4 linked regions of the Rhinolophus ferrumequinum genome follow. The protein of the gene in region 3 interacts with the protein of the main gene of each other region in a biochemical or structural test. Links are inferred from orthologs where the notes say so. Each region holds a gene or a part of one and is shown on either strand. Other genes may lie near its edges.

What was found.
Region 1: the proteins of CYSLTR2 (region 3) and DLG3 interact in a test that uses a peptide from one of them, tested with the Homo sapiens proteins (2 studies listed by IntAct, with this or other methods). The link is inferred for Rhinolophus ferrumequinum from reciprocal best matches to the Homo sapiens genes CYSLTR2 and DLG3.
Region 2: the proteins of CYSLTR2 (region 3) and SNTA1 interact in a test that uses a peptide from one of them, tested with the Homo sapiens proteins (2 studies listed by IntAct, with this or other methods). The link is inferred for Rhinolophus ferrumequinum from reciprocal best matches to the Homo sapiens genes CYSLTR2 and SNTA1.
Region 4: the proteins of CYSLTR2 (region 3) and PDZK1 interact in a test that uses a peptide from one of them, tested with the Homo sapiens proteins (2 studies listed by IntAct, with this or other methods). The link is inferred for Rhinolophus ferrumequinum from reciprocal best matches to the Homo sapiens genes CYSLTR2 and PDZK1.

The regions. Positions count from the first base shown.
Region 1 is NC_046284.1:2,238,191-2,245,875, forward strand, and holds the start of DLG3 (disks large homolog 3), read right to left. Parts: upstream 3,527-7,685; 5' UTR 3,171-3,526; coding exon 2,814-3,170; intron 1-2,813. UniProt on the Homo sapiens protein: Required for learning most likely through its role in synaptic plasticity following NMDA receptor signaling.
Region 2 is NC_046306.1:21,487,613-21,495,158, reverse strand, and holds the start of SNTA1 (alpha-1-syntrophin), read right to left. Parts: upstream 3,468-7,546; 5' UTR 3,328-3,467; coding exon 3,018-3,327; intron 173-3,017; coding exon 1-172. UniProt on the Homo sapiens protein: Adapter protein that binds to and probably organizes the subcellular localization of a variety of membrane proteins. May link various receptors to the actin cytoskeleton and the extracellular matrix via the dystrophin glycoprotein complex.
Region 3 is NC_046287.1:88,775,573-88,783,517, forward strand, and holds the start of CYSLTR2 (cysteinyl leukotriene receptor 2), read right to left. Parts: upstream 3,338-7,945; 5' UTR 3,177-3,337; coding exon 3,160-3,176; intron 1-3,159. UniProt on the Homo sapiens protein: Receptor for cysteinyl leukotrienes. The response is mediated via a G-protein that activates a phosphatidylinositol-calcium second messenger system.
Region 4 is NC_046305.1:49,993,427-50,002,027, forward strand, and holds the start of PDZK1 (Na(+)/H(+) exchange regulatory cofactor NHE-RF3), read right to left. Parts: upstream 3,189-8,601; 5' UTR 3,022-3,188; intron 2,635-3,021; exon of another isoform or gene 2,405-2,634; intron 1-2,404. UniProt on the Homo sapiens protein: A scaffold protein that connects plasma membrane proteins and regulatory components, regulating their surface expression in epithelial cells apical domains.

The sequences.
Region 1 (7,685 bases), on a different chromosome or scaffold from region 3:
AAGCCACGCCACACCCAGCATCCATGTGGGCACCCAGGACCTGGACAGGGACTGGCTCCCCTTCTGAACCACAGACTCCCAACATGTCAGAGCAAGAAAGACAGCAGACACCATCTTGCCCAACCTCTCTTGCGATACATGGTGACACTGAGGCCAGAGAGGACACAGGTTGTGCTAAGGGCACACTTGGAGATACTGGCAGAGCAGGGGCTAGACCCTAAATCTCCAGGTGCTCTTTTGATTAAAGCAAGCGGCCAAGGCTACTGATGTTTGGCCACCCATCCCCTTCCCCAGCAGAGCTCCTGGGCAAAAGGCAAGCTTCCCCCTTCAGAATACTTCATGAACCCTCATTCTACATCTCCTTCTGTGTCCCCACAAGCCCAATTCTTCATATGGTCAGAAGGAGTCAAAGACCTAATCCATTTTCTACCAAGGGGCATTTGATCCTGAACCCTCCATGTTTCCCAGTGGAAAGGACCAGGGTAGGATCTGGCTGGCTAGGTGTCAGAAGCCAAGCCAGGGGCGGGACAGGAGCAGAGTAGACAAGATTCCCCACGAGGGAGGAGCTGATGCCCGTGGACTGACGGGCAGCAGAGTCCATGGCCTTCAACATCTAGTAGCCATGGGAAGAGATGCAAGGGAAGGGGTCAGAATGCAGGGTTACTCTGACCAGCCCACAGAGGTGGCCTCCCAGACAAGATATACTTGTGGCCACTGTCATACTTCTGGACAGACAAGTAGCACCTGCTCCCTGACTCCCACTCTCATCATCCCCACGAATGGAGAAGCCCTCTTGCCTCTCTCCCCAGGTAACCTGGCACCCATCCCACATCTTTCTCTGGCTGAGTTGCCCCTTTCCTGACCCCAGGTCTCCTTTGAAGAGCAGAGCTGGGAATCCAGGATGAGGGCTCCTCCAAATGCCCTGCTCTGCTTTCCTCCTCCCACACAGCTTTGGCTTCCAGAGGCAGAAAGGTGGAGAGGGGGAGAGGGCTGGCTAGTCATGCCTCCACCTTTCCTGGGTCTGGTCATGGAACTTTATGCCGTGCAGCCCTAGGAGTTGGGGGGAGGACTCCAGCTGCAGCCCCACTCTGGTCCCTGATCCCAGGAGGAAGAACTGATGACTCTTCAGAGTCCCCAAACCGACACAGCTGCCTGAAATACCATGTGAAAGAAACACAGGCAAAAGGACACTCATGCAGCTCTTGCATGCATCTGGGGTACCATGTGTACCCACATGTGATAAGCCATGCTTCAAGCCCAGTACCACTGACATCCAGAGGATCCAGCTGCCACTGGTCCACCCTCCCACTGCCCCCCTCAGGGACCCTGCTCCCAGGACCAGGAGCCATCCAGGGATCAGCCCTGGCAGACAAACCTTGGCCAACTGGTCCAGCCTTGGAACTGTCACTCATCTCTCAGTTGATCGGGACAAGCATGAGAGAGTGTTTGCAAGGGTAGTGCCCCATGATAGAGAGGAAAAGGAGACACGGGGACTCGCTGCAGAGGGCAAGGGGCCAAGGCAAGGGACACGGGATGCAGTCAGTGTAGACAGACAGAAGACCAGAACCCAGGACCCCTCTCTGCAGGAAGTCCTCACCTTTGCTTCTGAGTGAGAGCACATCCTATCCCCAGAGGAGGACAGAGGCAGCCAGAATGGTCACCAGCTTGGGGCCATCAGCACCTGCCCTCAACAGCAAACCCTCCTTCTCTCCCCCTACCCTGGGTGCTGCAGAGCTGAATAACCAGACAGGCCCTCCGCCATGCGTGCCAGGGACCTGGCTCTGCCGGCCCAGCCTCCATTTTGCTGCTTCTCCCACAGATGCTTCTTCCATTTTCTAAGCTGGCAGTTTAGGCTGGGAGTGGAAGCCAGAGTTGTGCCCAGCACCCAGGGGTTCCCAAGCTGTGCCAAGTCAGGCCTGGGGGGCCAAGCTCTTCCACATCTGGGGGGACCCAAGGGGCACATGCCCCACTGGGGCCAGTCCCTGCACCAGGGCACCATGCCTGCTCTGGAGCGAGGAAGCTGGCTTCAACCCCCCCCCCCCCCAGCACACACTTCAGAGCTGCTTGGACAAAAGAGTCCGTCCTCAGTCTCTCAGCCTTGCTTGGGACGTGTCTCTCTCCTCCTCCCCCTCCCCTCTGTTGCCTGTCAAGAGCCTCTAACCAGGGACACCACACACACACACACACACACACACACACACACACACACAGGCACATGCTCACACACATACATGGAGCCACACACACAGGCACACAGAGACACCTCCACCTTCAGAGACACGGCCTCACACCGTCCATGTGCCCATTCACACACAAAGGGACTGGGACGGAGAGGGACTCCTGGCAGGGAGGGAGGACGCTCAGGGAGCCTGGCACATGGGCTCTACATAGATTCAAAGGAGCACCATTGCCTTCCTCCACACACCTCAACGCACACGTCCCCCTACGCAGAACACCGTGCCCCCTCCTCCCCTGCCGTGGAGACACACCACACACAGCCCCCGCAGAACCTCCCGCCCCCTGCCAGACACAGAGACACTGCTAAACCCCCACACTGAGACAGCCCAATTCCCCCGCACAGGAAAATGTGCCCCTCCGCCATACCTTCACCCCCTGACACAGACAGTTCCTCCCAACCCCCTCCAAATGGAGACCCCCAAACAGACACACACAAGGAAGCACACATTTCCCACCGCCTCTCCTGGTCCGGCTTGCAGCCCCAGGAAGCCCTACTGCACCCCAGGCCTCTCGGCCCCCACTCCCCAGCCCCTTGGGGTTGCCCCAACGACCCCCCCAGCTCCGCTGATCCATACCTGCTCATACCAGTCTCGGTTGGTACAGGTGCACTCTGGCCACCAACTGGGGCCGCTGCCGTTGAGTTTGGGGGTGCTCTTGCCCGGGACTGGCTTAGGGGGCACTGGCCCCACATCGCGGCCGGTGGGGATGAGCTTGGCCTTGGTGCGGGGGGTAGGGGTGGCCCCCGCCTGCGAGGGCAGGGTCTGCGAGCTGTAGCCCCCATAAACTGTGCTGGCTCCATTGCCTCCACCTGGCCCGTAGGGGTCGGGCACCTGCCAGTCCCCGTAGCCGGGAGGCTCCAGGCGCCGCAGGGCGGCCAGGCGGGTCACCTCGTAGCACTCGGGGCACTTACAGCAGTGCTGGTGCTTGTGCATAGCACTGCCCCCCGCGGCCCGGACCCCCCAGCCCACGCCGCTTTCCACGCCGCCGCCGCCGCCGGCGCCGGGCTCCCGGGCACACTCACACTGCTCGGACCAGGAAGGGGGGGGGACCCGTGGGGGCGCCCGGGCGGACCGGGGCCTGGGGCCGGGCGGGCGTCCTGGGGCCTCTGCCCCAACGCTGCCCCGCACCCACGGCTCCCCCTCCAGCACTGGCGGCTCCGTGTCGCCCGTAATGGCTTCTGGGCCGAGGCCCAGCGGCAAACAAGAAGCGGGAGTCTGGGCAGAGGATGGGTGCTGCGAGGACCGCTCCTGCACTGGTCCCCAGGATGGATCTGAGTGGAGTCAAGAGCATCTCTCCCTGGCTCCCGTCTCAGTTGATTCCAGCCAATCAGCGTGCAGAGTCGGGCAGCGGCAGCGGCAGCGGTAGGAATGCTAAACAGCGGCTCCTTAAAGGAACAGGGGCAGTGGATCCCCAGGCTCAGCCCCAACCCCCCAGATGGCTGAGGTACCGCTGACCCTAGGGCGGTCGCATGGGACTTGGGCCACGCGTGAACTCAGTCCCCAATCTCGTGTCCTCATACCCCCAATTTCAGCGCATCCTCCGCCCACTCCACCCCACCCCACTTCCCAGAGGGAGTTGCAGGGGGACGCTCAGTGGGTCCCCGGGCGTGCTCTGAGCTGGGGCCACCAGAAGTAAAGATTTGAGGCAGCACAACGGACGAAGGGACGGTGGGGAAGTGCTCTCTCCTAACAGGGGATAAGGGAAGAGGGCGGCTTACGAGGCTGCTCTCCTGTCGGGGGCCCCCTCCTCAGGACTATTGTTCTCTCAACCTCTAGGCCCTGAAATGCTGTCAGCCTCCCACTCGACCTGCTTCCATCACCAGTGAAGGACTTAAGCCTAGGACCGGAGGGAAGGAAAGCTCTAGGCTCTTGTCCCTGGCCCACAGACTCCTGTCTCCCCCCAGCCCCACTCCCGCACAGTTAGGTTGAAGGAAAGCGCTTCAGGATGCCAAGAGGAAAGAGAGACCAGGGCAGGAGGAAAAAGGCAGGAAGAGGTCTGAAGTAAGAGGAACCATTCCTGGGGTCTGCAGAAGAACTTGGGATACTTGCCCAAGGACATCCCCTTAGCTGCTCCTGGCTCAGCCTGCTGGGGGATGGAAGGAGGATGGCATGCTGGGAGGATTCTATCTTTTTGCTCTTCTTTTTTTTTTTTTAACTACAGTTGACATACAATATTATATTGGTTTCAGATGTACAGCATAGTGGTTAGACATTTCTGACTACAAAGTGATCCCCCCGATTAGTACTCACCTGGCACCATACATACTTATTACAACATCATTGACTATGTTCCCTATGCTGTACTTTACGTCCCCGTGACTACTTTGTAACTACCAATTTGTACTTCTTAATCCCTTCACCTTTTCTACCCAGCCCCCCAACTCCCTCCCATCTGGTAACCATCAGTTTCCTCTGTGTTTCTGTGAGTTTTGCTGTCCTTGTTTTGTCATCAGCTACCAATTATTGAGTCTTTACAAAGTCCTAAATGCTTTGCATGCAGACAAAAACCCTACCAAGGTGCCACTATTATTACCCTATTTTTACCAACGAGAAATCGAGGCTCAGAGCTGTTAACACAGCTAGGTACCACAGCAGGAGGTGACAGAATCAGGATGCAAATCCTGGCCATTTGCCTCCAGAGTCCATGCTCTGAACCACTTCAGTACAACAGAACTTAGATCTCACTTCAGTTCAACAATCATTGCACACCTACTCTGTGCAAGACCTTGACCTAGGTCCTAGGGATACAGAAATTCATTCTTAATTCAACAAATATTCATTGAGCACCTGTTATGTGCCAGAAACTGTTCTAGGATTTGGGGATATTGCAGAAAACAGAACAAAACACAACAAATCCCTGCCCTTGGGGAGCTTACATTCTAGTGAGAGAACACAGACAAAACTGAGCACAATAAATAAATGAATCACACAGTATATATGATGAGAAGTGCTGCGGAAAAAAAGAAAAAAGTAGAGTCAACAACTGGTAAATGTCTTGTTATATTTGCTCTATCGATCGACCTACACTTCTTTCTGAACCATTCAAATGTAAGTTCCAGATTTCATTTCACTTCTCTAAATACTTCAGCATGCATCTTGTTGGAATGAAGACATTCTCCTACATAACCACAATATTATTATGACATCAAAGAAAATAAGCAATATTTCATATCACCTAATATCATCTAATATCCAGTTCTATATTCAAATTTCCCCCAATTTGCCTTTTATATTTTTTAACATCACAAACTAATCAAGGTTCTCAAATTACATTTGTGTCTTTAGCTACTTTTAATCTAAGCAGCCTCAATCTTAAAAAACAAATACTTTTTATTTAAAAATAATTATAGATTTACAAGGAAGTTGCATAGATAGTACAGAGGGGGCCTGTATACCCTTCACCCAGCTTCCCTCAATGATTGCATCTTCCATAATTATTGTACAAAATCAAAATCAGGAAATTGACATCGGTTCGATGTGTGTATAGTACTATGCCATTTTACCACATATGGAGATTTCTGTAACAACCATCGCAATCAAGATACAGAACCATTTTATCACCACCAAGATCTACTTGTGTCATTTCATCAAGTTGAGGAAAGAAGAAACTTGACCTCCCTTTAAGTCTCTTTCCTCTGTCCCATTTATAGTATGATTATCTTCAATATTTCCACTACATGTATTGAACTCCACATCAATGGTGTTATACTTATTGCTTCAATCATCAAACATAATTTAGACAGCTCAAGAGGAAAAGGAAAGTCTATGTGCTTACAGTTTAATTCATTCTATTATTTCTTCCCTCCTGATGTTCTAAGATTTCTACTTTGATAGCTCCTTTCTGTTTTGAAAACTGCTTTTAACCGTTTTTTTTTAGGGTGGATCTGCTGGCAATATATTCTCTTAGCTTTCCTTTGTTTGAGGATATCTTGATTTCCCTCTCATTTCCGAGGCTATATTCACTAGATATAGCATTCAAGGTTGGCAGTTCTTTTCTTTCAACACTTGAAATAAATTGTGCCACTTCCTTCTGGCCTCCATGGTTTCCGATGAGAAATCCACTGATATTTGAATTGTTTTTCTCCTGTAGGTAAGGTGTTGTTTCTTTCTTGCTGCTTTCAAGATTTTCTGTTTGTCTTGTTTTCAAACGTTTGATTGTAATGTGTCTTGGCATGGATTTCTTTGAAATTATCCTATTTGGGATAATTTCAGCTTCTTGAATCTGTAGGTTTATGTTTTTTGCCAAATTAGGGAAATTTTCAGCCATTGTTTCTTGAGGACTTTTTCATCCCCACCCTCTTTCTCTTCTCCTGGGACTCTGATGACACAAATGTTAGGTCTTTTGTTATAGTCCCACATGTCTGAGGCTCTGTGTTTTTTTTGTTGTTTGTTTGTTTTTTAAGTCTATTTTCCCACTATTCAGATTGGGTAATTTCTAATGTTCTATTTTCAAGTTCTCTGATTCTTTCCTCCGTCCTCTTCCACCCTGCTGGTGAGTCCATCCACTGAATTTTTTAGTTCGGTTATGGCATTCATCTGTTCTAAAATTTCTATTTGATTCTTCATGATATCTCCTATTTCTTTGCTAAGACTTCCTATTTTTTTTTTTTTTTTTTCAACCTGTGTGTAACTGCTCACTGAAGCACAACGTTTCTTTTTAACGTTGACCACTTTAGAATCCTTTTCAGATCATTGAAAGCTCTCTGTCATCTTGGTGTTGGAATCTGTTATTTCTCATTCAGTTGAGAGTCTCCTGGTTCCTCGTATGAAGAGAGATTTTTTATTGCATCCTAGACATTTTTGGCTATTATATTATAAAATTCTGGAACTTATTTAAATCTTTGTTTTTGGTAGACTTCTTCTGACACTGTAGCCATCAGTGGAAGGGCCACTGCCAGGTAGGGACAGAATTTCAAGTTCTCCCCTCCATGTCAGTTGATACCTCAAATGGGGGCTCTTCCTTACTGCTGGGCAGGGTGGGAGTTCCAGCTCTCCACCGATACGTGGGAGAGGTTGAGGTACCTCCTTCCTGATCCCCAGGTGGCTTCCACTGACCATGGGTGGGGGCGAGGGTGATTAAGGAGTAGGGGAGGGAGGGGAGGAGGGAGAGGGCAGGGACAAAAGTCCTGACTCTTCACTAGGCCTCCTCTGACACCACCCAGTGGGGAGGGGAGGCCTTGTTGCTCTGTGGGGATGGAAGCCCAGGCTCCCTATTAGACCTTCTCTGACACCACCCCAGAGAACATGGGGGAGCTTGATGAAAGTCTGAATTTCTACTTGGCCTTTGCTGGTGTGTGTAGGGATGCAGTTTTTTCTGTGATGTTTGGTTGCAGTAGAGTGGTTATTATCTAACAGTTTTCTCTCTGGCTACGCTGTCCATTTCCTGGTCTTTTGGCTAGAGAGAGCAGGCTTTTATTGAGGCTTTTTTTGGTTGGTGCCCACAGGATT
Region 2 (7,546 bases), on a different chromosome or scaffold from region 3:
TCTTTGCCTGTCTTCTTCAGAACCTGCACTGCCTCATCATGGGTGGCAGTGGAAAGGTCTTCCCCATTCACGGACAGGATGGCATCCCCGACAAAGAGGGCCTCCGTCTGGTCAGCTGCCAGGCCCTTGAAGATCTTGGAAATGAGAATAGGCATCTTGTTCTCCCGGCCCCCTGCGAAGGCACAGAAAGAGAAAAGAACTGAGGCGGACACTCCAATACTTAGGAGTCACATCAAGGCAAAGTTATTTTTGAAGGCCTCCCTCGGTACCCAGCCCAGTGCTGAGAAAGAGGGAATGGGAAGATAAAGAGAATCTCAGCAGTCTTAGAAGCTTGGGACACTAATAATACTAATAAGTCATTTTCTAAATTCATACTGTTATAGTTTGGTCACTGGATCTTTTGGTTCAATGCTTTGGATGTTTACCAGTGTTTGAGTTATTTACAAGGTGCTTCACTAGCTTTTTCTTAAATATTTTGGACTTGAAGCAATTTTGCCATAGTGGGGATACCTCCCTAATCCGGCATTACAATAAAAGTCAGCTCTTGATATGGCTCCAAGGGATCTCATTAGCAATCAGAAAATTTTATAATCCAGGATCCAGGCTGGAAACCAAGCCTTAAAAGTCTAGAGATTTCAAAAGCCTGCCTGAATTTCATCTCTGATGCATAAAAATCTAATACATTTTACCCAATTGCTTTATTGCTAAACTCTTGAATAACCTTTTAAAATAAGAAATAGTAATAACAGTTCACATTAGTTCCATGTACCAAGTGCCAAGCAATGTGTTAAATGTTGTCAGTGGTGTCTCATCGCATCTTCACAACACCCCAATCACACAGGCAGGCTCAGTTTCCCATCAGGAAAATTGAAGTATGGATAGAAGCCCCTTGTCCAAGGTCATCCAGCTATTTAAGTGGCAAAGCCAGTATGTATGTGAACTGAGGTTTCCTGGCTTCAGAACCAGTACTCTTCACCCTATGGAAGACGGCAAGTTGGACCCTCAGATATCACACTACTTGTCCATTCCCAAAATATTAAAGATGAAGTACTACTGGCCCAGAAAAAGTAGATCATTATTTCAAGGTCACATAACAAATTGGTGGCAGAGGTAGGACTGGAAAGAAACCTCTTGTGACCCCCACACAGGACCAACAATTTGCTTCTTGCACTGCAGAGCTTACGGACTAGGAAAGGAAGGGATTTCTATTTATATCTGCCTTGTTCTGCCTGAAACTGGGGACTTTAGTGCATTCCTAGCTGCCTGGACTGGGCTGGACCCTAGAGGGGGAGGTCATCATGGTAACAAGAGCCTGGTTTCCATACATGAAGAATTGAATGGAGCTGGTACCTCCCTTGACGCCTCCTAAAAGTACCTTCACCCCCACCTGGAAGTATGGAGCTAGGGTATAACTTTATATGACCTTGGAAAGTCTCTGCTCCTCTCCAAGTCTCAGTTTGTCCATCTGCAAAATGGAGCTCTGTATGAACTCTAAGTTCCTTCCTGCTTTGACACATTGAGTGTACAATTTCCAGATTTGATCTGTTGCCCTATCCTACGCTGGAGTTTTGGGGCAAGACTGGTGCCCACTCCCTGGCTTACCCATTTCCCTCTTTTAGATCCCTTTCGTTGGCTGCATGGAGATTTGCCCTTCCACGGGGAAGAATTGACTTCCCTAGGCACTCTCCAGTGGCCTGATAATTGAGGTTCAAATCCCAGCTCTGCCATTCACTAACTGTGTGATCCTTGGAAAATCATTTTTTTTCTGAGTCTCAGTACGTTCAGCTGTAAAACAAGGTTTATGTTCCCTACCTTTTACCACTTGTTGCCAGGATAAAGTGAATCGTGAGCCCAGAGTACTGAGCATAACACATGGCACACAGTGGTAGCCAAGTCATCACTATCCCCACCCCCTCGCCCAAGTCAAAGGGTCTGGAGGTACCAAAAACAGAACCAGCACCAGGAAGAGAGAACAGTGCATATCCAGGAAGATACAAGGGCTGACACCCCCTCCCAAGGCAGATAGCACTCGGCTGGGGGCTGAGACACTGAGAGAAGTAAATGGGTAGGAATGGTGAACTCAACAGCCGTTGGGGGGAATGGGGGCAGAGATTTTAAGCAATATGGTTAGTTGCTTTCCTGGCCTCCATTTTCCCTCTCATCTAACAGCAATAATTAACTAGGCACTTACTATGTGATGGCAGGGTGAGTACTTTAGACTCCTGTTCTCATAAAAACATCACAACTCTATCATTAGCTTCACAATATAGTAGTTAAGAAATCTGAGGTCCAGTGATGGGAAATGACTTGTCTACATTCACACAGTTGATCCTGGACTCAAGCACAGTCTGGTTGCACCCTAAAAAAAGCTGTCAATATTGGGGGCTGAGAGCTCTCAAAAAGGAGTAACAACTCTATGTCCACCCCTCTCAATCCTGGGCAAGGTGGTCAGTAAACTGAAACGCGGCTCTGCCTAAGTACACAGCTTTCCTGAGTCCTCAGATTTCTAGATCCTTTCTGGACCCCTGTACATGAGCACAGCAGACGCCTCATCTCCAATCCCTCCCTGCGCTTTGAACTCCAGGCCCTATCCCCTACCTTGGTCGTCTCAGAGACTTCCCCCTCCTTGCCCTAGTGGCGCCCCAGGCCTCAATCGCCTTTCGCCACCCTTTGCTTTCCTGGGGTTCCCCTTTTCCTTGATGCCCACGCAGCCCCTCTCAGATCTCTATGCCTCTACACAGAACTCCCTACCCACGTGTCCTTGGTGCGCCCCTCAAACCCTTCCACACCTGTGCCTTTCGACGGAGACCTCCGACTCTCGAACCCATCTCCGACCTTGGTGCTCCGGGTGCCCTCGGTTCCCTCTGTCCCCTTAAACCACCTTTCCCCCAGACAGAAGTCCTCCAATTCTGTGTCCTTGGTATGCTGCCAGACGCCGCGAGCCCTGGTCCCTCGGAGGCCCACAGACACCAAGACACCAAGACCCTATGCCCTCAGTGCCTCCTCGCTCACCTCACCTTTGATACTGATGCCCAGCCCGCCGGCGTCGGCCTTGCGCACAGTCACACGGCGCCGCTGGAGCAGCAGCGTCTCCGGCAGCTGCGGGGGCGCGGTGCCTGATTCCGCGGAGCCGTTGAGCTGCGCGGGCTCCGGGTCCCGCTGGGCGCCGGGCTCCGGGCCGGCATCGCCGTCGGCGGGGCTCACGGTCAGCGCGTCCTCCGCCAGACTGAGCAGCACCCTCTGCCACCGCTCGCCGCCGGCCCCGGAGTTCGCCGCGGTGCGCAGTTCCAGCAGCCCGGTGCGCGGGGCGCGCCTGCCTGACGCCATCTTCGCCTTGGAGCCCCCGGGCCGCCGCGTTCGCCCTGCTCCGCAGTGTCTGGCCCGCTTCGAGCCAGCACCCAGGGCAGAGGGCGCAGGGGGCCCGGCTGGGACAGCCGCCACCCTACCCCGGGCGACTGGGGGGGTGGAGCCTCGAGGGGCGGGGCTATCTAGGAGGTGTGGCCGAAGGCAAGATAGCGGGACTCTGGGGCGGAGTCCAGGAGCCGAAAGATGTGTAGTGCGGGACTACTTTGCGGGTGGGACCATACCGGCGTCCGGGCCAGGCCGCTAAGTAAGGATAGGGATCAGTGAGGTGCGGGAGCTGGCGGGGAGAGGAGGGGCGAGGGCAGAGGCCTTAGTGCCTGGGGCAGAGCCCTAGCATCCAATCGTGGAGACTGCTGAGCAAGGCCGTCGAGGGCCTGGACCGTAACTCACGCTTTTAGGAGCATAAGAAAAAGAGACATGGATCTTGGTGCAAGGCTTTGAACCTCGGGGCGGGGCTACGTATAGAGGACCACTGGACTCCAAGGACAGGCCTTGAGTTTAAGTCAATAACCAGAGATGAATCCAAGTGTCCAACAAGAGGGAAATGGTTCTATACTACTAAAATCCCCCTGAGGCCACCTACATAACATATATGTATTATATGTGCACATGCACATATAATACATAGATGCCTTTTATTCAGTCTGCTGTATGTTGACACATGAACTGGCTGGTTTACATACATTGTCATTTAAATCTCACATAAATCCTGCATAGCCTGTATATTGTCCCCATTTTATAGATGAGGAAATTGAGGCACACCACTAGTAAGAAGAGACCTCTAGTTTAACCTTGGTTTGTCTGGCTTCCAAGCCCATATCCCTCCTGCTTCTCCTTTCTGCAGGCCACATAGCAGCAAAAGCTGAGTTTACAATCCATTCATTCATTCAACAATATTTATTGAACAACTTCTATGTGCCAGACACAGTGCTGGATGTAGGGATTCAGTTGTAAACAAGATAGTTAGTATCTTGCCTCATAGAACATACAGTCCACTGAGAGGCAGGATCCCTTGGTGGTTAAGAGCATGGGCTTTGGTTTCTGATTTTCTGTATTCAAATTCTCACTGTGCCACTTTCTATCTATGTGGTTCTGGGTGACTTATTTAACCCCTAACGTTCCATTTCATAATCTATAAAATGAGAATACTATATTAAAATTACTATCCCCAAGATTATTATGAGAAATAAATAATACTGGCTAACTGCTTAGCCTAATTCCTGCACATAGTAAGCATTAAAAAAATATGAGTTGTGAGAGACAACAAAGATGGTGCAATATAAACGCTGTGCTTACCTTCTCTCACAACCACATCAAAATTACAACTAATCTACAAAACTACCATTATTGAGAATCACCTAAAATCAAGCTGAACTGAAGGCTTTCAACTAAAGATGTGCAGAAGAAGCCACCTCCAGATGGGTAGGAAGGGCAGAGATGTGGAATGGGCTGGTCCCACATCCGTGTGTGACCATTAAAGATCAGGGGGGTTATTTCAGCTGTGGGGGTCCCCCCAGCCCCCAGAGGAGCAAGAGGTCCCAGCCCCACCCCAGCCCAGGGTTCCAGTGCTGGGGAGAGAAGTCCCCATAATTTTTGGTTGTGAAAACCAGCGGAGATTGTGACTGAGTGAGATGGAGAGCGGCTGCACTCTCAGGTGCTCCTCTTAAACGGACCATGTACAGACTTACCCACTAATGAATCACTCCTTCTGAGCTCCAGTGCTAGGGCAGCAGCTGGAGAGGTCTCAGGGACATTTGGTGGGGAACTGAGTTGTCTGGCTTGGGAGAGGGGCTAGAGAGGCAGTTTTCTCCTGCACGGGGGAACTGGTGGAGACCGTTGTGTCTTTGCTGAGCCCTCCCCCTTCCCCGAGTGCAGATGCAGGCGGCCACCATATCTGAGTCTGCTGTTGTTTGCCACTCACGGGCAATTCGAGACCCAACCCTGCCCAACTTTTGGGCACACCCAGGCTGCTTCCAGTGGCTTTTTTGTGTAGACCACCTGTCTTGGCTCAAGCTGCAGACTTTCCTAGGGTCTCTCAAAGGACCATGGAACCCAGACAAGAAGCATCTGGCTTGAGCGTATCCTGTACCTCTGGCTGAGCAGCCCTAAGTGCGGCACTAGCGGCAGCTGGCCTTGGATTGTGGCTTGGCTTCTCAAGGCGCTTCCAAGCACAGCATGGGTAGCAGCCATCTGTGGATTTCTTTGTGGCTCCTGCCAGGTGGCCCTGGGTGGGGCACAGGCTTTGGCTGAACTTGACCTACAGCAGATCCCCTCCAAAATGGCCCTGGGTCTGGTGCCCCCAGTGGGCAGCTTCAAAACAAGCTGGGGCATTACCCATCCGCCTCTGAGTATGACACACCCAAGTGCCGGATTTGGTAGGCACCAGAGTCCTGCTGAGGCAGATCCTGCTCCATAGGATCAGCCCCTACACAACAACTCTTCCACTGTAGTCAAGGCCAGTCCTCACAACCAGTGAGCCCAAGGGTCAGTCCCTCCCATTGATACACAATTATCAACCAAGACTCAACTACAAGAGGAGGGCACACACAACCCACACAAGGGACACACCTGGAGTGCACGGCTCAGGTGACCAGAAAGACTGCGCCACTGAACCCCACAGCACACCTACTACATAAGGCCACTCTACTAAGACTGGAAGACATAGCAGCCCTACCTAATACTTAGAAATAAACACAGGGAGGCAGCCAAAATGGGGAGGGAAAAAAAAAAAACATGTCCCAAATAAAAGAACAGAACAAAGCTCCAGGAAAAGAACTAAGTGAAACAGAGATAAGCAATCTATCAGATGCAGAATTCCAAACACTGGTTATAAGAATGCTCAATGATCTCAGGAAGAACTTCAACAGAAAAATAGGAAGCATAAAAATACAGATGGAAACCATGAAAAAGAACCAGTCAGAAATAAAGGATGCAATAATGGTAATGAAGAGTATATTACGGGGAACCAACAGTAGCTTAGATGAAGCAGAGGATCCAACCAGTCATGTAGAAGATGAGATAGTAGAGAACACCCAACCAAAACAGCAAAAAGAAAAAAGAATCCAAAAAATTGAGGAGAGTTTAAGGGGACTCCGGGACAGTATCAAGCATACCAACATTCATATTATAGGGGTACCAGAAGGAGAAGACAGAGAGCAAGGAATTGAAAACCTATTTGAAAAAATAATGACAGAAAACTTCCCTAACCTGGTGAAGGAAATAGACGTATGAGCCCAGACAGCACAGAGAGTCCCAAAGATAAACCCAAAGAGGCCAACACCAAGACACATCATAATTAAAATGCCAAAAGATAAAGACAAAGAGAGAATCTTAAAAGCAGCAAGAAAAAAGCAGTTAGTTACATACAAGGGAGCCCCCATAAGACTGGCAGCTGATTTCTCAACAGAAACTTTGCAGGCAAAAAGGGAATGGCAGGAAATATTCCAAGTGATGAAAAGCAAGGACCTACAACCAAAATTACTCTACCCAGCAAAGTTATCATTTAGAATTGAAGGACAAATAAGGAGCTTCCCAGACAAGAAAAAGCTGAAGGAGCTCATCACCACCAAACCAGTATTACAAGGAATCTTAGAGGGACTTCTTTAAGATGGGAGTGGGGGTTAAGGACGGGTGAAAGGGGAAGGGATTAAGAAGTACAAATTGGTTGTTACACAGTAGTCATGGGGATGTAGGGTATAGCATAAAGAATATAGTCAATAATATTGTAATAACAGGTATGGTGCCAGATAGGTACTAGATCTATGAGGGTGATAGAAGGGAATAGGGTTGGGGGCAGGGTGAAAAAGGTGAAGGTATTAAGAAATACAAATTTGTAGTTAATACAGTATGGGGAATATAATCAACAATGTTGTAAAAATCATGTAAGATGTCAGATGGGCATTGGACTTATCAGGGGATCATTTCATAGACTGTGTCCAATGTGCTGTACACCTGAAGCTGAAGTAGAATAATATTGAATGTCAACTATAACTAAATATATAGGTATATATATATATAGTCACGGGATGTAGAATACAACATAGGGAAGATAGTCAATGGTATTGAACAGCTATATAAGATGTCAGAGGGGTCGTACCTTGGGGGAGGGACATCACTTTATGAGAGGTTTAAATGTCTAACTATTATGTTGCTTTGTACACCTGAAACTAATTTAAAAAATCAA
Region 3 (7,945 bases):
TCTCAGAGTCCGTTAAAAGCTTTTCCTTGCTGAAGAGCGCTGGCTGTAGTAGTAGGGAAAAAAATCACTTCATTTTGTAATCCCAACTTGTCTCTCCAGTAAAAAAGACACACATTTCACTGATATACAGTCAATAAAGAACTGTAAGCATTTCCCTTTTATTTAGAAACATCTTTGTCCTTATGCACAAACAACAAAGAAAGTAACAAGAACTGATGGAATCTACAACACTCAAACATCTAATGTCTCAAGTATTTCTACTGACCTTGATGGCAGGTAATAAGAGCAATCTCCTCTAGGACCCACAAATTAAATCCTTCTGAGTAAATAACAGGTTGTCTTATGCATGTGGGAATTATTTCCAATTTTTGATCCTACCTTATTGCAATCTAATGTGATATCTGCAGGAGAGCTGCATTTCCAAAATATCTTCCAAAATGGCCTTGGTGTGATGTGAAACCTAGATATTTGATATTCTGGAAAAGACATCAGAGAATAACTTCTCTTGAACCTGATGGAAAGGACCTTATTGGTACTTTTAACAACTGGCACAGTATTAAGATTCCAATATTTTAATCTTTGGATTCATGTTTCCCAACTAAAAGACATACATACTTCCTGTCAACTACTGGAAGTTCATTCCTTTGAAAGACCTCAAACTGAAGATTTTTAGAAATTCTCCGGAAGCTGTTGATTTACAGATGTGGACAGCTTCTGCCCAAAATAGCAGAGCAAACTACTGACTGCAGAAGCAGACAGCTTTCCCACACGACAGAACAAAATTAATTTTCTGATTCTTTAGCACGCTTTTTCTTTCCCTTCACTACTCATCTTGTCCATCACTGTACTTTCGCTCCCTCTATTAACTAAAATGATCTCCCTTCTCTTTATCCTGTGACCCATTATGGTCTTCTGCCACTTAAGAAAAAAAAATATCTGTTGTGGTTTTCTCAGACCATAGCTACTGTTCTGAAGTCAACTGATTGCTGACAAAATTTAATAACTTAAAAAAAAGAAGAAAAACCACTTCAAAAGGTAAATTTTCTTCTACATATCCCTTCTGATATTTAAGTTCCCCTTGTATAATTAATCCCAAACTTCAGTCTGTTAACAATTTTACAGTGAACCCCATCAGCAAAATACTTCTGCTGAGGTCTTCACCAGAAGACCTAAGCCGTTAGGAGTGGGAACAAAGGTGGGGCCTATTTTAGATTAAAAATAGTTTCTTTGTTTTCTTCAGAGATATTCCAGCCTGCTTTGCAGGACATGTTTGACTCCCCCAAGGAATTTATCCACCTCCAGTGGCCCCCCCACTCCTGCAACCCCTACAGAGGCTCACATAAAGAGAAGGCCTGTTGTGATCAATGATTCTTAAATTCCCAATACCAACACAGTCCTTGCCTCACTAGGATACTTCTTATTTATTTGGACACCAGGTTTACACCCACCCGCCACACGCTAACTTAGCCTGTGTATTCAGGATAATTGTTAGAGAATTTCAAAGGTTTGAATTATTACTCCCTCCAGCGAATCCTGTTTCCCTAAAAAGAATACACAGAAACCTTAGAAAAAGGTAAGCACAGGCTAACTGAGAGAACACTTGGGAAGCATAACTAACTCCCATGCATGCAGACTGTCATGCTGGAGACCCTGCTCGCTCCGCCATTTGTCGTGCGGGGTGGCCTGCAGGGTCTCTGGTCCTGCTCCCCACATAAGAACGCAGGGTGTGGCTAGGACAAAAAGGAACACCCACGGAGCCATAGTTAGGGCAGTCATACCACTATAGTCTCACTGGAGGCTGGATTCACACAATCCGCAACCTGCTGTCCGATTCTCTGCCTGCCAATCAACCGATTCACTAACCAACGCAGCCGTGGAAGTTCTATCAGTGGCCAACTGGCTAACTGGTTACAGCTGACAGCCATCCACCACCCGAGCCAGCACCTTTCCACATGAGGCTGAGAGCCTGGAAACGGCTCTCTGGGACTCTGTCCCCACACAGACTGTGCAAGCAACTACTACCAGAGCTGAGAGAGCAATAAGAAAGGACTATGCAAAACTTGTCTCCGACCCTGGCAAAAGTCACAAAGTATACAACTTCTCTGGAAGCTGACAATATTCTCTCCCTGATCAAACTCTAGCCAGGCTCCTGTGAGCCCTCTTCCCAACTAGGTTTCCACCTGGGCCTAATAAAACACTAACATCGTTCTTAATGGCTCAAGTCCACATCTCTAGGATGACCCTAACCTCCCCTTTTTAACATAGCCTGAGATAACTCAAGTCTGTCAAAAGAATTTACTCTTTGTTTGAACCAACACCTGAAGAAAGGGCCCCTGTCTACCAGCCTCTGTAAGAAGGTAGGAGGCTAACCCTCTGTAAGTGCCAGTTAGCAAACCCAGATGCATTTCACATAGACCAAGCTTCCCTTCCAACTTTTTGGAATTTTCTACTGAGCACCTTTTCATCCCCTCTTTCTCCCTTGAAAATGTCCTGTTACCTCCATAAAAATTGAAGTTGAGTTCAGTTCATGTTGGATTCTTTTCTCTATTGCAATAGTATATTATTGATTAAAATCTGTCCTTCTCACTTTAACTAGTGTCTGGCTTTATCTATGATAAAGCCCAGGTTTAAATGTAAATTTATTAGGCAGAGTTGTCATGCATAATGACATAATTCTTAATTTCTTCTTAGCTAGCCAAAGAGAAATATATGCTGAAGTAAGCACTTCTTATAGAACCTGTATAAATACTACAGAACAGCTCGAGACTGGGGTAGGGGTGGGGGAAACTTCCTCGATGTCTAGAAAAAAACAGGTAAATTCTGGGGGCCATCTTTTCATTATTTGGGTGTGATAGTCTAGGTCCCTGTTTTTCAGAGTCTATTATGAGAACTAATAACCATTTTTGTTCCTGGAAATTCCTGCTTCCTTGAATCTCATCCCCAAATTACTTAACACAAGCACAAATCCTCTAATAATTCCTCATATCTTCGTTCTGAGTTTCCCAAGGTGTGCATTCTCCCTTGGTACAACAAATCAATACACCCAACTTTGTTCCAATACAGGCATGTTTCTAATGGATGTGGACTAGAAGACACTGCGAGAATCCGCACAATAAAGAATAAAAGGGGTATGGTGAAACATTAGTTACATTAACCTACCCAAAGGGATGGTTCATAAATATATTTCTGATGCAGTATGGATGTTTTTCAATTCTCCTTCAGAGACCTATGTGAAGATGTAACTCAGAAAACATGGTTGGCTTGTAAATGATGTCAAAAAAAAAGAAAAGCTTTCTTTCTTTAATTCAGCATTTCCCGAAGTATCTTCCGTAGCATATGAGTTCCATACGATGTTCTCTGTAAAAGAAAAGACTTCCATGTTCAAATCAGCCTGAGAAACACAGCAAGTTCTACTATCCCTCCTTTTGGAGATTTATAATGCATGTTAAAGGCTCCATTAGGGGTCCTGCAGGGAAAAAGAAAGGCTGATTTATACATAGGATGCCTCTCTTTTTTGACCCTAAAAACTTTTTTTGCACATTAACACATTCTATTATCCCACAGGATTAATGTTCTACACAACTTTACTTGGGAAATGCTGATGTTATTATATAATCCATTGGGAAGATGATTTTGATAGAGGAGAAAGAGAACCCCTACCTAATGGGTCAGATCAACAAGCAAGTGTTCAAGTGTTTGGAGTCACAGAGTTCTAAGCACTTACTTTTGGGTGAATTTGCATTTTTGAGCACCCATTACTTCATTGGTGAAATGGAGATTGTATTAATTTCCTAGGCCTGCCTTAACAGAGTACTACAATTTGAGTGGCTTAAAACAACAGAAATTTATTCTCTCACCGTTCTGGAGGCTAGAAGTCTGAAATCAAGGTGTTAGCAGGGGCATGCTTCCTTCAAAGGCCCTAGGGAGGGAAGAATTTTCTTCTTGCCTCTTCTAATTTCTGGTGGTTACCAGCAATCTTGGTATTCCTTGGCTTGTGGAGGCATCACCCTAATCTTGACTCTATCACATGGTGTTTTCATTCTGTGTCTTCACATTGTCTTCCCAATATGTATTCGGTGTCACAATGTCTTCTCTTCTTAAAAGAACACCAGTTATTCAGCTTAGGGCTCATCTTAATCCAGTGTGACCTCCTCTTAACTTATTACATCTGCCAAGATGCTATTTCCAAATAAGGTCACATTTACCTTATTAGTTACCTGGGGTTAGGACTTGTATGTATCTTTTTGGGGATCATAATTCAACCCACAACAGGGACATACAACATCTATGCACTGAGTTGTAAGGATTAAATGAGAGAGAGTGTGTGTGTGTGTGTTTCACAAGAGTACGTGGTACTAGGTAAGTACCACTAGCTGCTTCACTCTCATGAATGAATGTAAGGATGCTCTAGCTTCAACATCCATCATTCCACTGTCCATGTGGATGAGTTGATGACAATTCTCTCATTCATATGAAGTGTACAAAGTAGATTCCTCTTTGTGTTTGTTGGAAAGCATACTCTGCAGAAGCATACTCTGCAGAAGCATACTCTCAGGTTATTCTGACGTGTTTATGATGAAAATCTCTCAAGAGAACTCCACTCGTTGGTTCTGAGTCTATCCCTACCAGGGAACCTTCTGATAACTCATCTTCTTAATTTCTGGAAGAGTGGACTGTGGATTGTGAACTGGAAGATTCCAACAAAGGGAAAGTAGAATCCCCCATTATAAAAGTACAAATCAGAATTCTGGGTTGAAAATTCATCCCGTGTGAGTTTAGTTTGTGTAAGTTGATTTCTTGAGGTCTATGAGCTGACTGACAAGATGAAATACCTCCTGTGCAGAACTGAGGGCCACATCCTATTTCTGAGATGGCCCCAGGCCTTGGTGCTAACTATAAGGATCTCTCTTTTTGATCTGGCTCAACAGTAAATCTGAGGTTTCTAGCTTGGGTTATAGGAAGCATGGTGAGGCCATTTGCTAGAATGAAGAGCACAGAACTCAGGAGACAGGTCAAGGCTGCAGATACAGTTCAGGGAGATGGTCACGAAGAGATTGGAAGTCTGTATGCCTGACTTGGGAAAGGGAAGATAGCAAAATAAGAGGCTTGGAGATAATGTTTTAACCAGTTTGATAGAGAGCTAAAGTTTCTATTCGTTGGCCAAGCGAGGACAGAAGGATCAAACCTCAAATCAGGAAGTACGGTGTTGAAGTGCTGGACGTCATACAGACAGCATGCACAAACCAGGACCATGAAGCAAACATGGAGTTGGATCAGATGTCACAGTTATGGGTCAGCTCTGGATGGGAAGAACACTGGAATCAGGGTTAACACTCAGAGCCTAGGGGATAGGAGACAAGGCAAGGAAACTAAGACTGGTATGTGACCAGCCAGAGGAATTTTCATGGAAGTGTTCCATTACAAACTGGTTTTTTGAAAAGGACAGAGACCTGTCCCTATGGCCATATAGAAACTCTTTAGTTTGAAAGATCCTGACTTTGGAGCCAGGATTCTGATAGCATCATAAGGAAAGCCTATATCTAAGAGGCCAGGGAAGGGTCTGAGTTAGTACAAATAGACTCGAAAGCAATCAAGTCCTTAAACTTTTTGACCGTGAGGAGCACCAATCCTCCCATCTCAAGACCAACAGGGCTTGTGAATTACAATGAGAAGGGCAGCCTAGGATGTGGCAAGCCTTCAGGGACACTGCCAGCTACAGATGCTGGGGCAAAGTCCCTTACCATAGGCAGAGCATGGACTCTAGCAGACAAGAAACCAGCAAAGAGAGATGGTAACAGGTGGTCCACCAGGGAGTTGAGGAATGTGAGGGGAAACAAAAATAGACCCTAGCAACAGGGACTCCTTGAGCAACTGGGGAGGAAGGCAGACCACATGGGGAGGTCAGTCTGCAGGAAGGAAGACCCTTTGCCGCCAAGCCACGGTGCAAGAAAAGGACTTTGGACCTGAGAGGAGGCCTGGCCAGTTCAGGCAAGCTCTGCATCCTAGAGGGCCCAAGTGCTGGAAAAATCCTTGGACACAGAGACTCAGACCCGGGGTGCCAAGACAGGGGTCCATTTCCCCCGGTGAGGCAAGGACTGAAACTCAGGAATAAGAGATGTGTCCAATTTTAGAATCAAGGCACAAGATCAAGGTCAAATCAACCCCAAAGGTAACACTACGTCCCAGAGTTACTTCAGTTCCTCTACCTGAGACTGGGATTGGTTCTGGGCCCCAGAAGGGGCTGCAGGGCAGTGGGAAGGGTTGATGACTATCAGACAGGTTGCAAGGAGAGGATAACTACACAGGCTGGGGCTTTGATTTCAAACAACACCTCCAAGACCATCTTAATCCCTGGAAATCTAAAGAAAGAAAATATACAAACATCCTCCCTAAAAGCCTCATTTAGCTAATAGCCACAGACCAAAAGCAGGACCAGCTCAGATACAAAATTTCATTTAGCTCAATATTTTCTCTTGAGAACCTTTAAAACATTTGGATTGTTCCTTCCTGCTAATATAAAATACATTTGACTACACCACATTGTAATCTTTCACTAGACTGTAAAAAAAAAAAAGAAAGAAAGAAAGAAAGAAAGAAAGAAAGAAAGAAAGAAAGAAAGAAAGAAAGAAAGAAAGAAAGAAAAGAAAAAGAAAAAAGAAAAAAACTTCCCTGCTAGATGTGGCTATAAAAACCGGCCAGACCAATTAAATATGTGAAGGAAAGGTGAGAAATATATGAACAGGTAAATTCAAGGGAAATTAGGAAATAAATTGACAGCATAATTTCCACTGCTTTAGAGGGAGAGTGTGCATGGCTTTTTGTACCGAAAGGGGGCTTGGAACAAATTAAGGCTTCATCTCCTACAGCTTTACTGGTAATAAAGTAACAAAGAAATAGTGAGAAGCAGCAGCAGATGGAGATTCCATATTTCATTTAGGAAGAACACCAAAGAGAGGTAATAGCTCACATTGTTGCTTACGCGATTTTCATGGTCATAGCAAAGCTTCAACTGTCCCACACCTCACAGAAGTTATTTTCCTTTATACTTAGGAAAATATACATTTGGATGCATGGACGGGGTGATGGTTAGCCCTCGTCACCGGGGCCCCCTCCCCCCCTCCCATCAGCACTGACAGGGAATGTGAGCCCACAGATGTGCTCACCTCCAGTTCTCAGATCTGGGCCTGGGACCTGTGCTCAGGACCTGAAGAGTGAGGCACTCAGACACACTGACACAGACATACCCAAGAGCAGCGAACGACGTGCTGCTAGACAACCAGCTGCCGCGACGCTGTGGTAAACTGCTGAGGAACAGATAACCTTCTGGAGAATCAAGGTTGGTACAGTCTGCACCATCTTTTTAAGGCCTTAGTGCACAGCAGTCCTGCGGGCGACAGCAGCAGCACCAAACCTGCCAGCGCCTCGTCAGAAGGAGAACTGGTAGACCTGCCATGCTGCAGCTTCCCTGACTGCTATTCAGTGACGTTCTGAGTCTTCTGTTTGGCCACTGTTGCCAGGCCTTCTAACCTCCACACTGAAAATCCTTCTGATAAATTGACATCAGTGCCCTTGTCTGTCTGATCTCATCAGCCACCCTCACTACCCCTCACTTTAAGCCCCCCAGCTTTGGCCAAAACTGCCTAAGGGCTCTGGGAAAGCATATTTCCTTTCTCAGCTCACCTCCATCTCCACCTCAAGCCACAGATGCTTGTTCATTCAACTTGGAGCAACAGCCAACCTGTGCTGCGTTTACTCTGTGGTAAGCACTCGGCAAAGCTCCTTTGTGTATTGTGTAAGGATTGACTCCATGAATCCTTAAATAGTCTTAGGTACTCTGAATTGGTCATTTCATAGATGAGAAAAGCCAAAGTACAGAGACATGGAATACTTCCTGTGCCTAAGTTTGCCTGTCAACTAGTGGTCGGATGGGCCTGAACCCAGTTGT
Region 4 (8,601 bases), on a different chromosome or scaffold from region 3:
TCTGGGCGGTCCCTCATGAAGGACAGAAGCTGCTGAGATCTGGAGAAAAATGTCTCCCTCTAACTTGCCAATCTCATCAAATTCCTATGCAACAAATGTGAAAATCATTTAACCAACATGTGAACCAGAGACGCCCAGTTCCCCCCAATCAGACTTGGGACCTCAAACTGTTATTACCTTGATAAGGGTCCGGCTGCTCGCTGCACAAAAGCGAAAGCTTGGGAGACTAGGTTAGTGTATTCAAAATGTCAGCACTCTGGGAGGATGGCGGACTTCTGTCCAAAGGCCATCCCCCCAACTCCCAGCATGGCCAAAAGGTTTTATAGGCAGGTAAGGAGACGCAGAACCAAGGAAAGTGGAAGTTGGTCAGGCACTTCCCAGAGGCTGCTTTGTTTCAGGGATAGGAGTGGATCTTATACAGACATGAGAACTTCTTTCAAGTCATTGAACCAGGTATGCATAGGGTCAGAAGTAAACAGAATCATAAAAACTGGTATGCATAGTAAATATATAGTAAACAGTCATTAAGGTTTGGTGGGAGGGGAGGGAAGCAAAGAAAACTTTCAAAAAGTCCCAAGCTAAACTACACTACTAAATCAAATTCCCCTAGAAGTTTAAATCTCAAAATAGAAGATATAGTGTCACCGTTACAAGATGACCTGAGAGTATCAGTTCTTCAACCTCTTCTCCTTCAGAGCAGCTTATCAAAACATCCCGATTCTGTCCTTGCAGCTTCTTTCCCGCCACACTAACTGCCATTGATCCAAATAGCTAAGCATCTACTCTCTGCCAGGTGTTGTTCTGGGAGCTGGGATCACAGCACGTACCACAAAAGACAAGATCCCTGCGCTCTTGAAGCTAAACATCTGGCAAAGGTGGTATATACAAAGTAAACAAGATGACTTCTGAAGATAGAGGCTACACATGAAGAGATACGGCGGTGGGGTGGAGGAGGGAGGGCCCTTCCTGGGGAGGTAACCCTTTAATTCAAACCCAAGTGCCAAGAAGGAGCCAGGCGTCTAAGCTCCAGGATCTATCATACCTGGTGGGCTGAACAGAACAACTGCGATCGTCAGTCTCAACCCCTTTTTTTATAGATGAGTAAATCGAGGCCCGATGAGATTAAAAGACGGGACCAGGTCTCCTGATGGACCGCAAGGCTGTTTCTCCCACTATCCTCAGAGCCTTCAGATACACACATTTGAGACGTACGCACGGGTGTGTTTATACTCAAACACATAAGTATGATTTCATTTTCAGTGCAGCCTTTAGCAAAAGAGGAGAGGCTTCGATAGATGATGAAATGGAGGCTACAGCTGGCGAAGTGATTTGTCTAATAGCCTGTCGCTGAAAACTGAATCAAACCCCAGGTTATTTGCAATCCACCCCCATGTTATTTCTTCTGTGTAGCCAGTGGTCTATGAACGTAAGACATCATTCCTAGCAACTTCATAGTTGATGGTGCAAAGAACATGCAAAAGAGTCAAAGATAAGAACAATTTACTTAGTCATAACATACAAACTCAAAGTCCCTGAGTTATTTGCTGCAGGAAAGAACATGTGACCCCAGGTAACTAGACAACCATGACCTGACACAATCAGTGCGTCCGACTTTGGGACACAGTAATGAGAGCATGTGGGTGCAACACTGCAGGGACTAAAACTAAGAAGGAATGTGTCCTCAAGAAGCCAGCCCAGACCAGGATTCTCCTTGGTGGGTGAGTCCTTAGAAGAAAGTCTCATGTGAGTCCCTTGATCCCTCTGCTTAGGAAAGAAGCTGCTAGTTGGTTACCAACCTGCACACAAGAGAACCATCTCGGTGAGTGCTAAAAAGAAAACAACCCAGATTTTTCCGACCTACGCGAGACCCAAAGAACTAGAGAATCCAAAGGGTAAAGCCTGGAGGTCTACGTTTTAAAATTCAGCCAGCCTAGAAATCACTGTTTCTCCTCATTTCTCCGTGCTATGACGTAATGAAAAGAGGAGCAATGCCTGTGTTCATTATCCAGAAAGTTAAGCTACGTTGCATCCTTTAAGACAACCTCTAACACCCAAAGCCCTTGCGTAGTGGGACGGCGCTGTATCTCGTGACCTGTGAGGTCTGTCGTCTCACTCCCTTTGGCTGCATATCAAAGCCGCATACAACCCTGGGAAGATTTTTCTGAGGATCGTCCCCAATTCCTTGGTGAAGCAGACCCTCTCCTGCCAAGGGTTGGGGCATCTCCAACAGAGAGAATCTTGGAGAGAGGTCAATCTCTCACCCCACCCCCCACCACCACCAAAGGGGCCTGGCTCCTCCCCCGTGAGCCTGGCTTATGCTCTGAACAGCCAGCTACTGCTTAGAAAAGGAAAGGGGAAAGGAAGAAGGTGCTTCAGGCCCAGGTGGGACACAGTCAGCTCTTACCTGGGTCTAGAAGAGGAGCGGCTCGTACTGGGGAATTTACTGTCTGCTGGCAAGCTGTAGTCTTGAAACTCACTGGACTTTGAACGAGGATTGATTTAAAAGCTGATGTATTTAACAGAGACGCATGGTCTGAGTTGAAGTGACCTCTGTCCGGCTTCCTGCCAGCTAGCTCAGCCCTGAGCTGGACAAACCCCAAAAGCCCTCAGCAAACCCAACGCACTGGCCCACCGGCCTATCTGTGCGGGATGCCAGCCCCTCCCAGAAAGGAGGAGGGTGGAGAACAGGGGAAGGACAGCCTCTGCCTTCCTTGGTTCCCTCCCTTCAGCAGATGCCACGGTCACAGCCTTAGGAGCCTCCACTATCTTCCATCCCAAGGTCAGGACTGAGGCTCACCTGAGCATCCCCACCCACTGAGGTCTTCCCGAGGAGCAGGAACCTGTGCGACGCCCACCAATAGAAGGCCAGGAGGCCGAGAAGCCCAGTGAAGGGAGCAAAGCCCCTCCCGTGCCCATCCTTTCTCCTGTCTGCGAGGGAGTTCTCGCTGGCTCCCTAGGAGTAAAGCCCGGGCTCTTACGTCCCAGGTCCCTTTCTCTTGTTAAGTGCTCTCTCTCTCTCACCTGAGCGTGCTCTGCTTCTCTTCTCAGTTGTCTTCCCCTTCCACAGTTACGGCCTCTCCAGCAAGCCCCGCCGGACAGGTGGGAGGCACTTGCACGCGCTCCTCTCAGCCCGGCCACCTGGGCAGTGTGGGGGCGCCCCGCGCTCGGCTCAGCACCCCAGCCGGGACCAGCAGCTGATCCGTATCAGCGGCACCCACACAGGCAAACCCAGCACCCGGCTCCTCACTGACCTGGATCCTCAGCCCACACTGGAAACCAGGGCAAGAGATGGCTTTAGGCTGTGAGGCAGAGCGACCCACTGGCCGAGCAGGGGGTGGCCTCTCCCTCCACCCCCATGCTGCAAGGGCCATTTGTTTCCGCTGGGCTTTGGCTGCCTCCAACAAAGGCATGGCCCAAGCCAGAGGGTCCATGGTGGAAGATGACAAACAGCTGAGCAGCTAACTCAGGTCACCTCCACCTGGTGCTGTGGCCCCCTGGGCTCCCTGTGTGTCTTCCAAAGTAGAAAGGAGGAATGGGGAGAATCTGGATTTCAGATCTAAACACCTGGGTTCACATTCTGACTGCCATTTCCCAGGTGCTTGATCTAGATGTTTCTCCCTCTGAGTCTCACTTAGCTTCATCCTCTGTAAATACTCCTTATTACGTTGTTTTTAGAAGTTTCCTTTTTTTTATATCGAGTCAAAAAGAGCTCTCACTCCTGCCCACAGGTTCTGATGGCTCCCTCTGAGATGAACTGAGTCTACTCTGTAGCTATATAGCAGTCCTTCAAATACTGTGGGGCTGATGTATCCCCCATAAGCCTCAGTCCTGAAGGTGGTCTGCCTGTGCCAAGGCTTCAGGACTTCTCTCCCTGGACCCAGTCGATTTGTCAATGTCCCTCTTAAAATCAAGGACCTTGAGGGGAAACTTTGTTTTTCTTAACCTTTTTTAAAATTTTTTCGGGGTTTTCTTTGTTGTAATGCCAGGTGAGAGAATTGTTCTATATCTTGAGTGTCGGGTGGCTCTGCAGTTCACTGTCTACAAGTACAGAATTTCACCAACCTGTACCCCTAGACTAGGTGAATTATAGTGTATGTAAATAATGCTATCATTTTTTAAATGAAGGAGCCCCAGTAGTAAAATCTATTCTTGAGCCTTCTGAAATTTAAAAAAAAAGTTGAATGACAGAAGAAAAAAATAAATAAATAGATAACCCTTACAGTGAAGCTTCCACTCCAGCCCCAGTCGAGAGGATTCTCAGACTCGCCCTCCATCCCAGCACAGATGGAACCGCCACCAGCCTTCAGACTGGACATAGAGAGGCCTTCGAAATGCAAAACACAGTGTTGATTCAAAATTACATGGAAATGAGCGATTTTTTTTAAAATGACAAAAACCCTACCCCGGTGAAACACTGAACGGAAGGCGATTTGCCCCCCCACTAAAATTTGGATTTAAAAATCTCATGCCTGTAAGTGGATTTGATCTGATTAACGCAAAGCAGAGTAAGTCTTTTTATAGATGACTCAGATCTAGACATTAAGGAGAAGGGGAAATAAGATTACCTAGCCTGGTAAATCTTCATAGCCATTATTCTGTTATAATGGGGATATCGGCTCAGCATGACCCCAGGAGACGATATCCCCATTATACAGATAAGAACACTGAAATTCATCTGACTAGTTATCGTGTCCAAGGTCATCTGGCTCAGAAAGATTCAGGAGCCTGTCCCTCTCCTTAGGCAGTGTTGTTCCACCCACCATTCAGGGAGGGAGTGTGTTTTTTTTTCCCTGGAGGTATTCAAGCAAAGGCTGAGGATCTGTGTCACGTTACAGAAGGATGTTCTGCCTTGTTAGGAATAGGGGATTTTGGGGGGTCCCTTACAATTCTAAGATTCTGTGATCCTAAATACCTTGGGTCCTAAGGCAAGCCCGTGAAGGTGGATGGTGTAAGTCCTGGTGAGGGTCTAGAAAGCATGTAAAGCTATGAGCATGGATTTTGGCATCAAACAGATAATGTATTGAATCCTAAATCTGCCATTAATAGTTTTGTAGTTTTGTGGGAATTTTTTTACTGTGAGCTCAAGTTTATTTGGGCTTTATCTCTGGGAACCCTTGGCAGGCTGGGTGGAGGGTTTTCTTTGGGTTTTGTCAGCCAGCACCTCTCTATAACCCTAGAATAATGAGAAGACACTAACACCCTGGGGCCAATTTATGTTAATTACTTGTCTTAGTGTTTCTAGATCATGCAAATAATTAATGTCAGTTACAACCCCAGCCCCCCCTAAAGGGCAGATCTGTGGTTGGAAATTTGCAGGAGAGAATTCCTTTTTTTCCCATAGTCCAGGTCAACAGATTGTTTCCTCATTATCCCTGATCTGTTTTTCCCATAAACATATCCTCTTTTATCATACTGATATATGTTTATTATTTTCTGTCTCTCCCCCACCAGAATATAAATTCCCCAGGGTCAGAGATCTGTATTTGTTTTGTCACGGTATCCCAAGTGTCTGGCATATAAGCCTAGCTTATAGTAAGCTTTCAAAAATGTTACTGAATCAATAAGTGAATAAATGAATCTCCTTTTGCCAACAGGATTGGTTTTCAGCTCATGCTTTCACTGAGAACGTAGCTTTTGAGGATTTCAGTTCTGTGGAGGGTCTCAATTCTGAGGTCTTACCTCCTGTCCCAAAGTGACCGTGTGAAAACAAACTGCTAGGTTACTGGTTTCAGCTTTCACTTCACTTCTGGACCTTATAGATTTCTTTCCTTTCTTTCAAGTTCAACTATCTATTTGGAAAAAAAAACTGTTTGATATATTTTACCCAGTTTTTCTATGAACTTTGAAGAGGGAGGGTTTTCAGATGACCTAGTCTGCCATGTTTGCGGAAGTGGTTCTACCATTTGCCTCTCAAAACTCTGGCTTTTTCTTCTGTAAAATATAGATAATACTAACAACCTCATAAGATTTCTTGGAGACTTAAGTAAGAAGACATTTTTACATCACCCAGAGCCAGGTAAATGCTCAGTACATAATCGTGTTACTAATGTTTTTGCAAGAATAAGCCTTCTTAATTTATGGGCACACATTGTACAGACAGGCTCCTGGAAATAAACAGGCTAGAAGTACAGTGGGCAACTCGGGAGCTCAGGATGTTTGGGGCATTGTGGTAGTGTTCTTGCCCACTCACAACACAGCGTTTTGTGCAAGTGGTCAGACACAGAAAACTGGAAACACTTGCCAATTCTCCCCAATATTTTCCCCACCGTGTCACACAGAGAAATTGATAATAATTGTACAGTTCACTAGGGTAAATAGCTGAGGCTTTTCAAGGCTGGAGTGACCGAAGGCCAGCTGCCGCAGGCTCTGCCCAGACCCCCCAAAGATTGAGGGGAATAGTACTTGAGCATACACTTAGAAAACTATAAAACATTGTTGAGAGCCACTCAAGAAAACTTAAGTAAATGAAGATGAGTGATACCATATCCGTGGATTGAAACTTCAACACTGTAAAGACATCAGTCCTCTCCACATTGATCTACAGATGAATGTATCGCCAATCAAACTCCCCACTGGGTTTTTTCTGTGATTTTTTTTGTTGTTGTTATTTGTTTGTTTTTTGGTGGAATTTGACAAGCTAGTTCTGAAAAGTAAGAATAAGGAAGGAGTTGCTCTGCTGGGTAACAGGACAGTAGAGTGACAGTAATTACTACAATATGGCATGGGCATGAGATAGACAAATGGACCGATGGAATAGACTAGACAGCCCCACAACAGACCCGTTCAAATAAAACGGTTGACTTCTGACAAAAAACAGAGGGAAAGGTTGGTGTTTTTTCAATAAATTGTTCTGGTGTATTCCTTTTAGGTGTGTTTTACTTCATTCAATAATTACCTTTGTGAGAGTATCCACGTTGCTGCGTGCAGTTGTTTTCATTCTGGGATTCTGTTTACATAATGTCCAAATACCAGGCAGAACTTGGGAGATGCCTGCTTAGGTGGTAACACGCTGTCCTGACTTCTGGGGTGCTGGCAAGATTCTAGCTCTTGAGCTGAGATGTGGTTACACGGGTGTTTATGACTGAGCTATGTAGTTTAGTTTTATGCCCTTTTCTGTACATATATTGTATCTGATAATTGAGGGTAATAAATATTTTAAAAGCTATGATATGTGTATAGCATACTGGGGTCAATAGAAGAAGCTCTCTGATGCTGGAAGTGACATACCTGGGGGTTTCAGCTGTGCTCAGCCCTACCTGGCTTATTCAAAATTGGAAGAGATCAATATCTTGGCACTGGCGTACCTTGGCACCCTGGTCAGGAATCTTTGATCCAGTATTTGTCTTTTTGTGACTGGCTTATTTCATTTAGCAAATGTCTTCCAGGCGCATCCATGTTGTAGCCTGTGTAAGAATTTCCTTCCTTTATAAGGCAAAATAATATTCCGTTGTATGGACACCACATTTGATTTATCCATTCATCTAGCCATGAATCGGATCCTTCCACCTTTTGGCTATTGTGAATAATGCTGCTGTGAACATGGCTGTACAATATCTGTTCGAATCCCTGCTTTCAATTCTTTGAGATATGTCCCCAGAAGTGGAATTGCTGGGGAATTCCATATGGAATTGCTGGGGAAATCCATATGGAATTCCAGTGGAATTGCATATGGTAATTTTATGTTTGGAGGGGGCTGAGGAATTTCCATACTGTTTTCTACAGAGTCTGCCCCATTTTACATTCCCACCAACAACACACAAGAGTTCCAATTTCTCCACAGCCTCACCAACACTTATTATTTTCTGTTTTGTTTTGTTTTGTTTTTATGATGGTCACCCTACTGGCTGTGAGGTGACATCTCATTGTAGTTTTGATTTGCATTTCCCTAAAGATGAATAATGTTGAGCATCTTTTCATGGGCCCGTTGACCTTTCGTATGTCTTCTTTAGCGAAATGTTTCTTCGAGTCCTTTGCCCATTTTTAAATCAGGTTGTTTGATTTTTTTGTTGTTGAGTTGTACCACCTCAATTTTTTGACTAGGAAATAAAGAACTAGAGAGGTGAAGTGACTTGGCCAGGGTCACTCAAGTTCATAGCAGAGCCATGGCTAAAACCCTGTGCCTTTACTTCCAAGGTCAGTGCCCTTTCTACTACACCAGTCTTCCAGGCTGGGTACAAGATTCCAGCCTCCACCCTTCATGTTTGACATCCCAAAATTTTTATTCCTATTTCAGATCTGATTGTCCCAGTATTACCTTGTCTTTTGAGTAGCTCATTAACTTACTTGGAGCCGGGCATTTTAAGCTCCAGTGGTTTTCTGTCCCTGTCCTGAGCCCATGTTTATGACAATTCCCCCTTTCATTCCCCATGTTGCTCTGGCCTCATCCACCACCTGAAGAAAAAGTCTGCGTGCCGTTGGAGAAATTTATTAAGCCGGGGTCCATATGCAGACCTGAGATACATGTGCTACAGCCATGCAAGGAGATGGGCATGAGAAAGGGCAAAGCCACTCTTCTCTGTTGCTTCACGAGTGTGGCCCCACATGACTGCAGAGCTAGTTTTTTTTTTTTTTTCCAAAAACGAGGTGGCAGGTCAGGGGGGC